3 linked regions of the Arabidopsis thaliana genome follow. The protein of the gene in region 1 interacts with the protein of each later gene in a pairwise test. Each region holds a gene or a part of one and is shown in the gene's direction. Other genes may lie near its edges. The genes, in order: BET10, BT4 and BT2.

The links.
Region 2: the proteins of BET10 (region 1) and BT4 interact in a two-hybrid assay, tested with the Arabidopsis thaliana proteins (one study listed by BioGRID).
Region 3: the proteins of BET10 (region 1) and BT2 interact in a two-hybrid assay, tested with the Arabidopsis thaliana proteins (one study listed by BioGRID).

The regions. Positions count from the first base shown.
Region 1 is NC_003074.8:274,801-280,958, reverse strand, and holds BET10 (bromodomain and extraterminal domain protein 10), read left to right. Parts: upstream 1-2,117; 5' UTR 2,118-2,403; intron 2,404-2,548; 5' UTR 2,549-2,572; coding exon 2,573-3,652; intron 3,653-3,729; coding exon 3,730-3,778; intron 3,779-3,864; coding exon 3,865-3,948; intron 3,949-4,373; coding exon 4,374-4,457; intron 4,458-4,540; coding exon 4,541-4,656; coding exon of another isoform or gene 4,657-4,713; exon of another isoform or gene 4,714-4,740; coding exon 4,741-4,807; intron 4,808-4,904; coding exon 4,905-5,026; intron 5,027-5,116; coding exon 5,117-5,377; 3' UTR 5,378-5,626; downstream 5,627-6,158. Other genes in the region: TPLATE (ARM repeat superfamily protein), read right to left, coding at 1-550, 655-1,788; AT3G01760 (Transmembrane amino acid transporter family protein), read right to left, coding at 5,689-5,811, 5,889-5,957, 6,058-6,149.
Region 2 is NC_003076.8:26,930,376-26,935,019, reverse strand, and holds BT4 (BTB and TAZ domain protein 4), read left to right. Parts: upstream 1-2,194; 5' UTR 2,195-2,490; coding exon 2,491-2,760; intron 2,761-2,900; coding exon 2,901-3,031; intron 3,032-3,139; coding exon 3,140-3,446; intron 3,447-3,521; coding exon 3,522-3,965; 3' UTR 3,966-4,080; downstream 4,081-4,644. Other genes in the region: AT5G67490 (succinate dehydrogenase assembly factor), read left to right, coding at 326-652. UniProt on the Arabidopsis thaliana protein: May act as a substrate-specific adapter of an E3 ubiquitin-protein ligase complex (CUL3-RBX1-BTB) which mediates the ubiquitination and subsequent proteasomal degradation of target proteins.
Region 3 is NC_003074.8:17,907,076-17,912,856, reverse strand, and holds BT2 (BTB and TAZ domain protein 2), read left to right. Parts: upstream 1-2,118; 5' UTR 2,119-2,385; coding exon 2,386-2,544; intron 2,545-2,621; coding exon 2,622-2,764; exon of another isoform or gene 2,765-2,968; coding exon 2,969-3,272; intron 3,273-3,544; coding exon 3,545-3,885; coding exon of another isoform or gene 3,886-3,943; exon of another isoform or gene 3,944-4,227; coding exon 4,228-4,375; 3' UTR 4,376-5,090; downstream 5,091-5,781. Other genes in the region: CEP3 (Cysteine proteinases superfamily protein), read right to left, coding at 5,487-5,759. UniProt on the Arabidopsis thaliana protein: May act as a substrate-specific adapter of an E3 ubiquitin-protein ligase complex (CUL3-RBX1-BTB) which mediates the ubiquitination and subsequent proteasomal degradation of target proteins.

The DNA.
Region 1 (6,158 bases):
TCTCATTTAATATTTGATCCTGGGAAGCACCATCTTTCAGCCTCTTCACTCCTCCACGGGTATCATAGATATGGCACAGCCTAACAAGCAATTTCAAATAGCAATCTACAGCGTACGTCCTGCCATCACAATCCCATTTGACACAAGGCCTACAAACTTCCACAACCTCAAGGGCTGGTTCTGTCCAGTTCAGAGCACCATAACCAGTACCATATGCTAACGCACCAATCACTCTGCTCTCCATACCCGAGTTTTTTTGTTCAGGCAAAGGTAGAGACAACTGGAAGCAGCTTTCCACAAGCATTGCCACCAGCTCTTCCCGAAATAAGCTCTTACTGGTAACACTATTGAGATCATCTTTAATCCTTGCATCTTCAAAGAGAGAAATAATATCTGTCCCAGGCAGAGGCTTCTGACCTCTTCGGGCACTTTCTCTGGCAAAAAGGTGAACACAGAGAGCTGTCCGACAGATACAGGCTAATGCGTGCATCCTGTCCGATTCTGCTCTCAAGTTTCTCACCATAAGCAGCAGTCTTCTAAACAACGAAACCTTCGTAACAAATTCCAAAAAGAATGATTCAGAAATCATAGGCCACAGCTTCAAGACAAAGGTACACAACTAACCGAGCTTAAATGAAGTAAAAAACGACATACCTGCATATGCAGATCAAGCAAGTGCAGGTTCGTAACAACGGCCCTGACTATACTCTCTCTAGCAGAGGAAAATTCTTGGCGGTCCCAGAGTGTTAAAATTGCAATAATGGACTGTGAAGCCCACTCTGGCTTGCCTCCGGCAACATCTGCCAGGTAGAGCATGTTAATTCCCACTTCAAAAATCAAAGCTGGATCCAAAGAGGAAGCCAAGAATGGCGCCAAATGGGTAACCAAATCTGAGACGCCAACCAGCTTCTCGGCGTTGGAGTCCACAACGGTGGCATTAGCTGCAGCAGCAGCAGAGGAAGCCTTGGAAAGCTGTCTAATCACTTCGACACTACCGGAAGCAACAGCTTTGACAGCAAAGACAAGAGGGAAAACAGTGGCTCTGAAGGTTTCGACAGGAAGGACTAAAGACCTAGCCATCAAAGCGCTCCTCTTTCTCCATACAATGTCAACCATGGAAGAGACCCACTTGGACCTGATGGCGAGGGAGTTCTCGCTGTCAACGAGCTTATCGCCAGCAAGACGGCTCATCCGCTTGGAGTCGAACTCCTGGAAGAGTCTGCCGACGGACTCAAAGGCAACCTTGGAGACGGCGTCGGATTTGTCGAGCATGTTCTGGCCGATCCGAGCCCACCAGTTGGAGACCTTGTCGAGGAGACCCACATTGTTCTCGCACAAAGTAACGAGATCATCACGCGCGAGGATGCAGCCAAGTGTCTCGGTGATGGAAAAACGAAGGTTGTCAGATGGAGAATCGAAGCAGGAAGCAATCTCAGAGCTGCAATCAGAGATGAGTTTAGGAAGCGAGAAGGCAGGGAGAGCCGCAAGGATGGAGACGGCAGCGGCGGTAACATCCGGGTCCGGAAAATGAAGATCCGTTTTGACACCTGAGCAAACGGTGTCCCAAAGATCCGGAGTGAGGCGGGTAGATCGGATGAGATCGAATGCCAGCTTCTTACAAACAGCTGAAGCCGGAGAAGCAACAATCTCCTCCACAGCAGACTTAGCGATCACAGAGATATCTCTTCCGGCGGCGGATTGCTGCAGCGCCTGAAGAAGCGCCGATGACTGGCGAAGCGCGTCATTTGAACGGAGGTCCGCCTGGATCTGAGCAAAAAGAATGTCCATAACCGGATCGAATTAACTGAAATTCGAGATCCAAAATCTGAGCTAACTAGCTTCGCTGTCAATCTGTGTACGTATGCGACATGGAACTGGAAGAAGAAGGATGTGTAAATCAAACCATCAATTGAAGAAGAAGGAGAAGAAATTGTTTTCGAAGGAAAAAAGCGCGTGCCGTTCCTGCGATTCGAGCTTTCACAGCGTGCCGTGTTGAGTCATCCGTAGACCCAATAAAGGCACATTAAAAAGTTCATTGGGCTTTACATTATAAGCCCAGGATATTATTTTTATGCACCGAAGTATTTGCATTCGATTTTAATTCGAGGGATCAGATCCGACGGTCCAGATTGAGTCCTGCCCAGTAGCAAAACGGCGTTAGACGCAGCATTCGTTAGGGACGGGACACTAGAGAAGGGAGGGCAGAGAGCGATTTTGTTCTCTCTCTACTTCTCGGTCGTCTTCTTCGTCTCCACTCTAGGGTTTTACTCTATCTTCTTCTTCATCATCATCTTCTACACCAATCTCTAGCGTTAATCTGTTTCTGCTGGAGAAGATTTACGCTTGTTCCTCGGTTCTCTTACTTCTGCTCCGGTTCGATCGCTTGCTAAGTGTTTCGAGTTGGTTAGTTCCGAATTTCCTTTTTTATGCATATTGAGTGTTCACTGCTCTCCTCCAGCAATACTATAGGGCTCTAAGAATTGAATTGCTTTCAGGTTTTCATAGTTAGGGTTTCTCAAAACTGACTTAAATATTTTGATTTGTGCAGGTTCGCACTTCGGTGGGCGATATCATGACTGTGAGGAACGGTGGTTTCCCAGGAGATTATAATCGTAACAGTTTTGACTCTCCCGGCGGCTGTGATGATAGCCCCAATGCTTCCAAGGATGATGAAACTTTTGGTGTCCCGAGAATAGTTTTACCCTTGTCTGACTTGTCATCATCAGAAAGGAGAAAGTGGATTCATACGCTTCGTCAGGAGCTGGAACAACTACGGTCCTTTCAGAAGAGTGTTGGGGACCTTCTTCCTATATCTAAGATTGTTACTAGTACACCTGCAAGTAATGTGTCTCGCCCCAAGAGTTTTGGAATGTCACGATGCTCTACTGGCCCTGGAAAAAGGGTGCTCCCCTTCACAGCAACCAAACCAGAGCCAGTCACCACTTCCACTATGCTTCGGATGAAGCAATGTGAGAGCCTCCTTAAACGATTGATGTCGCAGCAGCATTGTTGGCTCTTTAATACCCCTGTGGACGTCGTCAAGCTCAACATTCCTGATTATTTCACCATTATCAAACATCCTATGGATTTAGGAACTGTTAAAAGCAAGTTAACTTCCGGCACGTATTCAAGCCCTTCAGAGTTTTCTGCTGATGTCCGTCTTACTTTCCGCAATGCTATGACTTATAACCCGTCAGATAATAATGTGTATCGCTTCGCTGATACTCTCAGCAAGTTTTTTGAAGTGAGATGGAAAACTATCGAGAAGAAGTCATCCGGAACCAAATCTGAACCAAGTAACTTGGCTACTCTTGCTCACAAAGATATTGCGATACCTGAGCCTGTGGCTAAGAAGAGAAAGATGAATGCTGTGAAACGTAACAGCCTCTTAGAGCCTGCTAAGCGGGTTATGACAGATGAGGATAGAGTAAAGCTTGGCAGAGATTTGGGGTCCTTGACAGAATTCCCTGTACAGATAATAAATTTCCTGAGAGATCACAGCTCCAAGGAAGAGAGATCTGGAGATGATGAGATAGAGATTGACATCAATGATCTCAGTCATGATGCCTTGTTCCAGTTGCGGGATCTCTTTGATGAGTTTCTGCGAGAAAATCAAAAGAAAGATTCAAACGGTGAACCCTGTGTGTTAGAGGTAATCACCTTTCTATATCTCATTCTTGATCCATTTGTTAACATGACTGATAAACAGCGAAAACTTTCTTGATGTAGCTTTTACATGGGTCAGGGCCAGGAAATTCATTGACGCAACACTGTGATGGTTAGCATACACTGGTTTTGTTGTTTGAGCTAATTCGCATGTCCTACTCTATGATTAAGCTGTCATTTCCTCCTCGTTACTTGCAGGGAGTGAATTGGAGGACGAGGATGTTGACATTGGTAATTATGAGCACCCTATATCTCACATCTCAACTGTCAGAACAGAAAAAGGTATGGCGTTAGAGAACTACAGTGGTTTGTTTAATCTTGCTACATTGTATTTGTCTTTTTCTCTATGGAGCTTTTGCAGACGTTTGATGTTTGCAATTCTTATATGTACTTAACCCTCGGAACCATTTTACTTCCCTCTTGTCAGAAGTGGCCGTCCATCTAGAATACTCAATGTTACTTCTGTAGTTTTTTTGGAGTGAAACTTACTGACCTTACTGATAGCAACTCATATTACACACCTAGTATGATAGTGATAGACCTGTTACATTTTCTGCTTGTTTTACTCCCAGGTCGCTGTTTGCTATTTTCTATAGTGATCATATTATCTCTAATCAGTGATTACTCCTCTTTTGGTGCAAAAGATGTTAAGTTTTGTTGATATTAATTAATAAACCTTGGTTTTCTTATTCCCTTTCTAAAAGCAGATTCCGTCGGTGGATTGAATCAGATGGAAGATGCATCCAGAGGGAAGCTAAGTCTTATTGAGGGGGCAGATGGTCATCAAGATGGTAAGCTCAGAAGTGTAGCAGAAAAATATCTGTGCTCTAATATCTGAGGGTGGCATCTCACTCTTGACCCATTAATAATTTAGGAAATAGTGCTCCAAAAGAGAAGGAACTACCTCCAGAAAAGCGTTACAGGGCTGCTCTATTGAAAAATCGATTTGCGGATATAATCTTGAAGGCTCAAGAGATAACTCTTAATCAGGTTAGCTGTGTTTGTGGAGGTGTGAGCTGTTATATCTGGTTAGCCCTCCCTCTTTGACTTTCAAAATTATATTTGTGAGATCAGAATGAGAAACGAGACCCAGAGACACTGCAACGTGAGAAGGAAGAACTGGAATTGCAAAAGAAGAAAGGTATTCTTGATTTGCTAGTTTCGATTTTTTGATTGATGATATATACCAAGTAGTATATACGTACATAAACTTGTCCTCTTATTGTTTTGTGCACCAGAAAAAGCACGGTTACAAGCAGAAGCCAAGGAAGCTGAAGAAGCTCGTAGAAAAGCTGAGGCACAAGAGGCTAAGAGGAAACTGGAACTTGAAAGAGAAGCAGCCCGGCAGGCATTGCTTGAGGTAAATCAAAATTGCTGCCTTGTACCAGTTTGGTTTTATAAACTGCAATACATGTATATTGATCATTGCCATGACTGAATGGTACACCAGATGGAGAAGTCGGTTGAAATAAATGAGAACACAAGGTTTCTCAAGGACCTAGAACTGCTCAAAACGGTTAACACGGACCAGTTACGAAATCTAAGAGATGTTGGCTCTGAGTCTGATGGGTTGGCTGTATTTGGGTTTGGAGGAAGTAATCCTCTAGAGCAGCTGGGGCTATTTATGAAACATGAGGAGGATGAAGATGAATCCGACATGCTTGCGTTTCCAGATCCCGGCAATGAAGTAGAAGAGGGTGAAATCGACTGAGATTCATGAGTGTTGTGTCTTGGATAACAGCAGTCAAGTGTACATGAGTTGTTGTAAAAAATGATAGTTAGATTGATATTTAACCAATGCGATGGCATTTTATCCGAGTAAACAATCAATAACACTTTGTGTAGTGAGTAAAATTTTGGTTAATTCAATAAACCAATGACCGACAGCACCGAGAGAGAGAGGGAGCATGTCTCAGAGTTAATTCTATAGATTTACACTCGAGTTTGGTAATAGAGCCTCTAGACTCTAGTACCAGCGAAATTGTTGCGTCCAACCAATTTATGTTACCTACAAGGCAATCGTCAGTGTTTAGGTAAGTTGCATCTTGAATTAGGTAGAGTGCCCTTTTGAATATTATAGATTAGTTTGGCCAGTCCCCCAATAGGTGCTATGATCATCAGCACAAGCCCAAAAATGATGCAAAACTGCTCCAAAAAAAAAGATTTAACTTAGCTGTAAGTGTCATATTTAGCTTTTGATCTGAGGACTACAAACATCTTACCCAGTTCATACACCATGAGAGACTAAATCTCTTTGGTTTCTTTAGGATCAGCCACATGATGCATGGGATCTGAAAGATAACATATCATTATGTTTGTTAGAGTTATTAACATGTTGATTGAAGTTTGATGATATCAAGAGCAGTTTAAGAGTAGAGTATTCGCGCTTACAAAGTATGTGGTCGGGGCGAACACAAATCCCCCAAAAAATGACAGCAATGCGCTGTAATACGGTAAACCGACCGCTATTCCCATCGTGGCGGCTGCGATAT
Region 2 (4,644 bases), on another chromosome or scaffold:
GCTTTTTGGTAATGAGGTCTAATATATAAAAAGGTTACGGGTTCGAAATCAGCCCACGTCAACTTTACCCTCTAATTCTCTCCTATTTGTTTTATAAACATGTTAGGCCTAGCTCCTGATGGGCTTGTTAAACATAATTATACTGGGCCAAATTTACTCTCTAATTCTCTTAATTTATTTATAAACATGTAAATGATTGGGCCTAGATACTACTGGGCTTATTATCCAATTATGGCCCAACCTAAATGACTATCGAACCCTATACTATCACAAACCGTGAAGGTCGGATCTCTTTCTTGATTTGGCCGACACATCTGATCTAACAATGGCGACGAACAACATCGTACGTTTGATCGCTCCAAGCCGATCCGTCTCCTCTAGATTCCTCGAGCCAGTGTCACGGTTTCTAAGCTCCGGTACACCTCCTCCGCCGCAAGCTCCATCTCCGAATCAGGATCTGAACCGGGACGTGAAGCCAGATCAGAATCTTCAACAGAATCTGCAGATGCAGAAGGAAGAAGAAGAGGAAGGAGAAGGTGGTGGAGGTGGAGAGTTTGTGAACGAAGATACTGGTGAGATTGGAGGGCCTAGAGGTCCTGAACCGACTCGGTACGGCGATTGGGAACAACGTGGTCGATGCTCTGATTTCTGAGAGGATTCATGTATCCCTGTGTTTTAGCTTGTTCTTATATATTTCTGGGAAAAATGGAAATAAATTCGTTTTATGTGTTTATGTATTTGCAAAATAATGGAGAAAATGGAAGAAAATGTAGTAGAACTTCAAATTCGTTGCCTTTATTTGGATCATCATTCTCTGGTGATCTTGTTATTCCAGTAATAGTTAATAAGTTCTTCCTCAGGTGGGTTAAATGTGCATCTATACATCTCTATCTAAAAAATTTGGGACACTTTAATACAGGTTTAGTGATGATTTAGAATTAAGGAAACAACAAGAGATGAGTTTAACTAACCTGAGAGTTCAGAGTTCAGGTTTGACATTACCCGGTGGTTACATGAGTTCTGGTCCAAGTTTAGGCATGGCTGCATGGGTCAGTGAGATGATGTCAAGGTATTTCTGTTGTTCAACAACATTGCAATGTGCACTTCTGTGATAACTACAATTGCACAACTGGGTGATGCTCAAATTACAATTAAATCCGTATATGATATAAAATTACAATTAAAAATATCAGTTTACATGATATATGTATTATGTTCCAATACTCTTTAAAAGTTAGAAAAAGATTGGCATCATCATGCATTTTTTTTTTTTTTTTTTTTTTGAAGTTCTTATAACTTTACTCCGATCAAAAACTAAAAAAAAATACAAGAAAATGATCATATAAAAAGCATTTTGACTTCTTCTTCTTCTGTTTTAGATTATTCGATAGAAGAAACGTGGCATTATAGTAAACACAGAAAAAAAGGGAAAAAAGGGTAACAATCAATTCAAGCGAAGCTAAGAAATATGAAGAGAGACCAGTAAAATATTTATGACGCAATTTTGCGGACCTCAACATAATTCACGATTAGTTAACATTTTTGAAGAGAGTATCTGATCATGTGGTTAAAATTAAGACTAATCTAAATTTATCTTTGAAGAAGAAAGGATAATAATACGGATAAAAGTTTGAAAAAACGAACAGCTAATTATGAGCTGTGTAACGCCGAACAAGAACAAAAAAAACAAAGGACACACTGATCTGTTTTTGTACGGCTCTTAAATTAAATCATTTATAAAAAAAAAACATGCAGAGTCGTGTTTCAATTGATAAAGCCGATAATAAAACCAACTTGACGAAAGCTTTTTCAAGAACGAGGAAAAAAGGCCGTTAAGGCGCGTGGATTCTCAGCCGTCCGTTTCGTAACCGTAGACTCCACGCGCCTCTCGGGTAATTTTCGCAGGTGGGTGTCTCTGTTGATGATATGAACCAAGAAAATATCTTCAAATTATTGAACACAAAAGTAAGAAAAAAGTGAGATAATAAGGAAATTAAAACAATAAATTATCCTTTCGGTGGGATTTTTTTTGTCGTCTTCTATTGTTTTTGTGAGTGTGTGTGTTTATATAATGGTAAGAGATCTCTGATCTCTCAAGCTTCTCTATAGAGAGAGTTTCTTCTCATGCTCTTTCTACCAAGGAGAAGATTTTCTCGTTAATTTTGTTTGACTTGCCTCTTCGAAGCAACCTGATTCTGTGGTCTGAATCTTTTCAAGGTATATATGTCGGAACAAATTAGAGCATTGATTGATTCTTGTTCTTACATTTTCTATCGATCTGTTTCAAGAATTCTTGTTATTTCTGATTGATATTTTCGTGTGAATATATATGTAGAGATTTGTTCTTATCCTATTCGATTTGTAATCGTAAATGAGATCTGGTTACATAATGCTGTGAAAATTGTTGTCTGAGTCACATATTTCGTGTAGAAATGACAATGAAGTTTATCTGTGGCTAAAGAATCGACAATATATATTTTCATTTGATTGATGCAGGGAAGAGAAGATAAGCTAAACAAGAGAATGGTGACAGGTTGTGTTGATCTTCATCAATCTTTCAAATCTGCAGATTCATCTTCTGTGCCAATTCCTCCTCCTCTTCCATCAAAATCTGATGGACTCAAGAAAAAACTTGGGCATAGCAGCGTTTCGACAGCCACAAGAGATATGTGGGATCGTCTTTTCAATGACGGATACAAAGCTGATGTAGTCATCTATACAGATAATGGCAGTATCATCTATGCTCATGCCAACATCCTTGTAAGCTCTCCTTATAACTCCTTTGACCATAATTATCAATGTGTAGTTAGGATCTTTAGCTAAGCGAATACAGACTTTAGCAGTTGATTAGAAAGGTCTAGACTTGGTTGATATGGACATTGTCTTTCTTGAATTAATAGGGAACTGCTTCCACTGTGATCAAAGGCATGTTGAAGCAAGCCAAGAGACATGGCAAGTGGCATACAATATCAATCCGAGGTGTCCCTCATGATGCTGTGCGAGTTTTTATCCGTTTCCTCTACTCTTCTTGGTATATATAAATTCCATTTCTTCTTGCTCTCTATATTTATTTGCTCTGCCTCTTTTAACATTCGTCTTATGATCTTTTCACTGACGAAATCTGATTTCCTTTGTGTAGCTATGAGAAAGAAGAAATGAACGAGTTTATCATGCATTTGCTACTTCTGTCACACGCGTACGTGGTTCCTCAGCTGAAACGGGTCTGTGAATGGCATCTAGAACATGGTTTGCTTACCACTGAGAATGTGGTTGATGTGTTCCAGCTTGCGCTGCTGTGTGATTTCCCTCGGCTTAGCCTCATATCTCACCGTATGATCATGAAACACTTTAACGAACTCTCTGCGACAGAAGCATGGACAGCTATGAAGAAAAGCCATCCCTTTCTTGAGAAAGAAGTTAGAGACTCAGTAATCATCGAAGCAAATGTAAGTAGTGATTTAATAAACTTCCTTTTTTCCCTGTATTTTCTCCTAAATTCTAAATCTTGAACATAAACGCAGACGCGGAAAGAGAGGATGAGAAAACGCAATGATCAGAGGATATATTCGCAGCTATACGAAGCAATGGAAGCACTTGTTCATATATGCAGAGATGGATGTAAAACAATAGGGCCACACGATAAAGATTTCAAACCGAACCATGCAACGTGTAACTATGAAGCTTGCAAGGGATTAGAATCACTGATCCGGCATTTCGCAGGCTGTAAGCTAAGAGTTCCAGGAGGTTGCGTGCATTGCAAGAGAATGTGGCAACTCCTTGAACTGCATTCACGTGTTTGCGCAGGTTCTGATCAATGTCGAGTCCCTCTATGCAGAAACCTTAAGGAGAAGATGGAGAAACAGAGCAAGAAAGATGAGTCGAGATGGAAACTTCTGGTGAAGAATGTATTGGGGAGTAAGAAAATCGGAGGCTCTCCTTTCTTTTTACCGGTGACAAACTGTTAAAAAACATTTTGTCAATCTCAAGAAGGGCGAGTTTTAAGCGTTTCTTGTGATCCTATCTTTAAAACAAGTGTAACATAATGAGTTTGAATAAATGACACATATTTTGGTCGGCCAAGAGAGTCTCTGGAATATCAAATCCGGTCTACGGATCGGTTTAGTGATTAAGTGGCAAAATTGGTAATAAGCTCAGTGAGTCATCTTGTTGTGAAATGAACAGAAGAAGAAGAATCTACCAAATTTTATAGGACCCAACTTGCTTTGTTATTTTTAATAAATCCAAATATGGAAAAAAGGAAACGAAAAGATCGTGGTGGGAAAAAGTGACGTAGAACAAGACAAAAGCAGTAAGAGCTGAGAGGACGTGGTACAAGTGTACACAAAATCGGCCTCACTCACATCACATGTTTCTATTTCATTAAATTAGTAATGTTGGAAACATTCATTGTCACAAAACCAAATCCTCAACAATGATCGTATCATGTGTAGTATATATTTTCTTCTCCTTTCAAAATCCCTTTTTCTAATCACTTTCGTATTGGGTTCTGATTCCTTCAACAACAAAGAAACACAAAACTTAACCAAAATCAAGAAATTACGAAATTTTCATATATATATCTATCTATATTTAAATTGCTGACAAATAAAAAACTAAGAAAAAAAAGGTTCCTTATTTGTTACG
Region 3 (5,781 bases), about 18 Mb from region 1:
TCCACATATCATGCGGACAGGATCATCAATCATCACTGATTAGTATTAATGAAGTTGGCTTTTAGATAAAGTATTCAACCAATAATATGGGGAATGGACATCTCCGAGACTCCGACCAATAATGAGAAAGTTAATCAAATCTATTTATGGGTCGGACCGATCACTATTTTTCTGATGCGGAAACTTATCAACAAACTTTGAATTTTTTAGCTTTTTGTTTTACAATGAATCTATTTGCATTAATTTTAAAACTGTGTTTATAATTAAACAAGAAAAATGGTTTGAAATGATGAATTCATTGGCCTAGGACGTGAGATCAAAACGCCAACTCCAAATCCAACCAAGCCAATGTTCATTTCTCCACGTGGCGTTTTTAATGGATCAAAATCATTGCACCAAACCTAATTTCCAACAAATCAACATTTATGCGGCGAACTTACTCCCCAAATCCAACGTAACAATCGCACTATACACTTTTTTTTTTTAATTCCATAAATTTCATAGTTCTTTTTTCTCCAAATTTATAATTATAGACAGGGTCCAAAATGTTTCATGAAAATTAAGTAAAAAAGTAATTAATATTAAAAATGATAAAATATAGGTCAATTACCTAAAAACAGAGTTTTTCTTTGCTATAAATGGTAGGTTAATTTTTCTACCAACATTAAAAAAAAAAAAACACTATTATTTAGTAGTAAATTGTAGTCTTACCTAGATTGATTGAGGAATTTAATGAAATACTTTTACAAAAAAAAATACCATGAAACAATATATGTGATTACAAAAGTTAATGATCTATGCGATTAGGAAGAAAATGTTCGAAATTCAAAGCTATTACTAAGATAGTTAAAAATATATCCAAAACGGATAAGAACGTTCGATTTAAAAGTCATGTATTCATTTATCTTATGGAAAATATTTTAATCGAACACAAAATTCCGTTGACACAGATTGAGTCACACAATGGATAAACAAAAGGATCACAATTGGCAATACAAGAGGGCGTGTAAGATTGGATGAGAACAAAATGCCACGAGGGATGAGGAGAGGTGGCTCTTGGGAAGAGGCAAAGGTCGGTTTATTGCAATAACCGGCTTTTCTAGTTTTTTTTTAATAAACAGCTCTTTGACGCAAAGCCAAAAACAATATTGGTCCCGGATTTGTTCACTTTCCACATTGGATTGATAAGAAAACATAAATCTGCCTACATGGAACAAAAAGGTCGTCTTGTTTTTCGGATCACAAACAAAAGCAACCTTATAATAGTCACTTTTTTTCAGGAACGTAAATTATGCAAATATTTTCATTTTTTGTTTTCATCTTATTTTCCTAATGTTGGGAATATAATACGGACAGTGTTACACGGTGTAACTTACACCGTTGGTCCAGCTCAATACACAAATCAAATAGAACATTATCTATGTTAAATTCTTATGCATGTTACACCAAGTCGGTAATATATATTAAAAGGTTTAAAACAAATATAAGCAATTGAAATTAAATACAAAATTGAGCTTGTTAGTGGGACATTGTTTAACTAACTTCTCATGGAAATTAAACTCATCACTCTTGCTATGGTTGAGACATTGTTTAACTAAGTTCTCATGGAAAAAATGGGGCGCCACTTAAGGTATAAACCAAAATATTTGCGTTAAACCCTAGATAAGCTAAGATGCCATGGAAACAAAACACTGGGCGAGTTTTCTTCTCGTGACAATTATCATCAAAAATTATGGAACAAGTTGATCCTAATCCTAATCCTCTTATCAATATCTTTGATTGTCTTAAAGTTTTTATTTATTTTATTTCGTGATAATTGCATTGTCTTAAAGTTCATAGTTGCATAATAACTTTATCCCCAAACTTTCATGATCTCCACGGACCAAAAAAAAAAAAACTTAGGAATTAGTTTACCAAAAACTCCAACTACTTAAAATTTCAGATATTTGTTGTCAGTATTCAAATACTACACTCGGAAGTTTCGTTCGACTATGATACATATTCTCAGTTCTTTTTTGATGATTCATGGAAGATAAATTTGAATATGAATTCTCCTGTTCGTTATAAATTATTGTAATAAAGACTTAAAGAGTGATCCAGCTTCATCTCTTTATCCACAAATGCTATTCCCGTCACATAAAAATGCCAAAAAAAGAAAAAAAAGAGTGATAATCTAAGTGAAAACAGATCACGAGCGTGTTAGATAAGAATAGAGAGACGCAAAAATAAAATAGATATTTGCGAGACGCCACGTAAGCAACCAAAAGGTTACGGTAGGACCCACCTCGCTAATGTCTATATAACCAGAAATGTGCCAAAGCCTTTCTTCTTCAAACTACCAAACCTACAGAAATCTCTCTTCTTCTTCTTCTCTACAAAATTTCAATGGAAGCTGTTCTTGTCGCAATGTCCGTCCCCGCCACAACGGAAGACGACGGATTTTCGTTAATCACCGATAAACTTTCATATAATCTAACGCCGACGTCGGACGTTGAGATCGTTACCTCCGATAACCGTCGGATTCCGGCACACTCCGGCGTTCTGGTAAGTTGTTATTTATTTTGGTTTACGGTTTACATTTTTCTGGTTTGGTTTTTAGCTAAAATTTGTGGATAATGCAGGCTTCAGCTTCACCGGTACTGATGAACATCATGAAGAAACCGATGAGACGTTACAGAGGCTGTGGATCTAAAAGAGTCATCAAGATTCTTGGCGTTCCATGCGACGCCGTTTCGGTTTTTATCAAATTCCTCTACTCTTCTAGGTTGGTTTGGTTCGGTTATTCTTCTTGAATTTTCCAAATGTAGAAACTTCAAACCGATGGTTATTTCCGGTACTACACAATTTTCCCGGTTTTTCTTTTTCATACACGGATTTGAAGAAACTCTGTTTTTTTTTGGGCTATTTTCTTGGGGAAACAATAGCTGTCAGGAAATGACTAAACTACCCTTTTGCGTCTCTGTTTTAGTTTGACGGAGGATGAGATGGAGAGATATGGAATCCATCTTTTAGCGTTGTCTCACGTCTACATGGTCACCCAGCTGAAGCAACGGTGCTCAAAAGGCGTTGTACAACGTTTAACTACAGAGAACGTAGTCGACGTCCTCCAGCTAGCTCGGCTCTGCGACGCACCCGATGTTTGCCTTCGATCTATGCGTCTGATCCATTCGCAGTTTAAGACCGTTGAGCAGACTGAAGGATGGAAGTTTATTCAAGAACATGATCCTTTCCTCGAGCTCGACATTCTCCAGTTCATCGATGACGCCGAATCGGTAAACTTACTTATATGTTTTGAAAACACAGCATCTCTGTTTTTCTTAGTACCTTCGATAACACATTTTGTTCAGCTAGGTTTAGTTTTTGTTCCGCGCTAGTAAAAAGATAATTTTTTTTTTTTTAAATTCAGTTTATTTAGTTTGGCATGTTGCACAAAGTTTAGAGTATTAGTTAACTCATGTTTGATTAGATTTGGTTTATATACCTAATTAACCCCAAAACATTTGGTCATTTTTCTGATTATGTGTTGATTTATAATTTAACGCAGAGGAAGAAAAGAAGGCGACGACATAGAAAGGAGCAGGATCTTTACATGCAACTAAGCGAGGCAATGGAGTGCATAGAGCACATATGCACACAAGGTTGTACATTGGTCGGTCCATCAAACGTAGTAGATAACAACAAAAAGTCAATGACTGCGGAAAAGTCAGAGCCTTGTAAGGCGTTTTCCACGTGTTATGGTCTTCAGCTTTTGATACGTCACTTTGCCGTATGCAAGAGGAGGAATAACGATAAGGGTTGTCTTCGTTGCAAGCGGATGCTTCAACTCTTTAGACTCCATTCTTTGATTTGTGATCAACCCGATTCTTGTCGCGTCCCTCTCTGCAGGTATGTCCCAACTTGTTTTGTTAGGAATTTCACATTTGAAATAAATCAAAAAGTATGAGCGAATCCATTTACGCTTAATTAGTAAGTTTGAAATTGATGATTTTTAGTATGTTTATGAATAAAAACCAATGTTTTGTTGAAAGTGAAAAAATTTCATTTTTGGTAAGAGACAAGGTTTGTTTATCTTTTTGTGTAGACCCACCTTTAGAAAAGTTGCAAATTGCTATGTGAATTGATGATGGGTCGTAATCCGACGGCTGCAAATTGTTGCCATTTCTTGAAATTTGTAGATATTTTAATAGAATCTCATGTGTTCTTTTCAACTCTTTTTTTTGGGACTAGGCAATTTAGGAAACGGGGAGAACAAGACAAGAAAATGGGTGAAGACACCAAGTGGAAGCTTCTGGTGACAAGGGTTGTGTCTGCAAAAGCTATGACGTCGTTGTGTCAGTCAAAGAAGAACAAATGTGAACAAGCACAAGGGGTTTAATCAAAACCAGGAAGGAGTTAGTTAGGTTTGAAGAAGATTAAGTAAGAAGCTTTCTTATAATTTGATATCCATTCTTTTTGTAGTATAATAGTATTTGTTAGTTCGATTCTTTATTAGAGGGGTTTAGTTTGTATAGGAGTAAACCCTTTTAAATTGGCTGTATAAGTAGGTCATATTCAATTGTTTTGTTCTATTTATCTGAAAAATGTCAGCATGTAATACAAAACAAATAAATGTTCAAATTAAAGGGAGGATTACAAGAGGTGTTTTTAATGTTATTGACTTTGGCCAAAATTTTGAAATTTAGATAATTCTATCCGTTGTTTCGCGATTACAAAAAAGTTGAATTCAAACGTGTGTTGAAAATAAAAAAATATCGTGTTTAGCGTGATTAGTGATTACAAAGACTCAAATTTTTGACTCCCAAATATGTTCAATAATATTGGTAAGACATTAAGAACATGAACCAATAATCGACCGTAAAACATCTTTGGCGATGTTTTGGTAAAACCTAATTTTGGTTTTGGTGTGGCTTCATAGGCTTGGTGCGCCGTTTTACCCTTCTAAGCCTATGAGCTTCTCTCCCGTTGGGTTTGTTTACCCTTTTGATTTGGACGTTTTGGTTTTTGTGTTTTAATTTATGTCTTTAATTTTTGTAATCTTTTACAAGGGTTAAGTCCAATGTGTTTGTTCCCAGTTATGATCCTAAAAATGTCAATAAATATGAAAATAATTTGAAAAAAAAACATCTTTACAATTACAAAACGTCCATCTTGGAGAATTGAATTGCACTTTTTGTAATAGTAAAGATGTTTTACTGTCCATTATTGTTTTATGATCTTAATAATTACAAACACTATCCTCAAAAGTTACAATTCTTGGCCATTTTGTAAGTCAATTAAACTTGCACATAGTAAAGTATTTAACGCCATTTTTCCGCAAAGCAAATGCTGGCCAATATTACAAGGAGATAAAAATCGTCTCAATTTAAGATGAATACACGATAAATGTGTAAACTGAAACCCATGAACCTCAATCCATAAAATAATAAACTCAGTGTAAGCTCACTAGAAGAATGGTTCGAAATTCAGTTTTCAATGACTTAAAGTCTCTAGAGCTCGTCTTTAACATCATCACGAACTACTGACTCATGAGTAGAAGGAGTCGAAGAGAGCTTGGTGGGATAAGAAGCCTCCATGGCTATACCGCAACGTCCTTCATTCTCCGATATTCCTCTTTCTATCCGAACATAGCCTCCTTCTCCCCATTCAGGTCCCCATGAGTTCCTTACTATCCAATATTTTGTTCCATTTTTGGTCTCTCCATACCCAACAATCACCACCCCGTGGTTCAACTGAGTCCCGCATTCTCCGATAAACACACCCTACAGTAGAATGCATAGCACG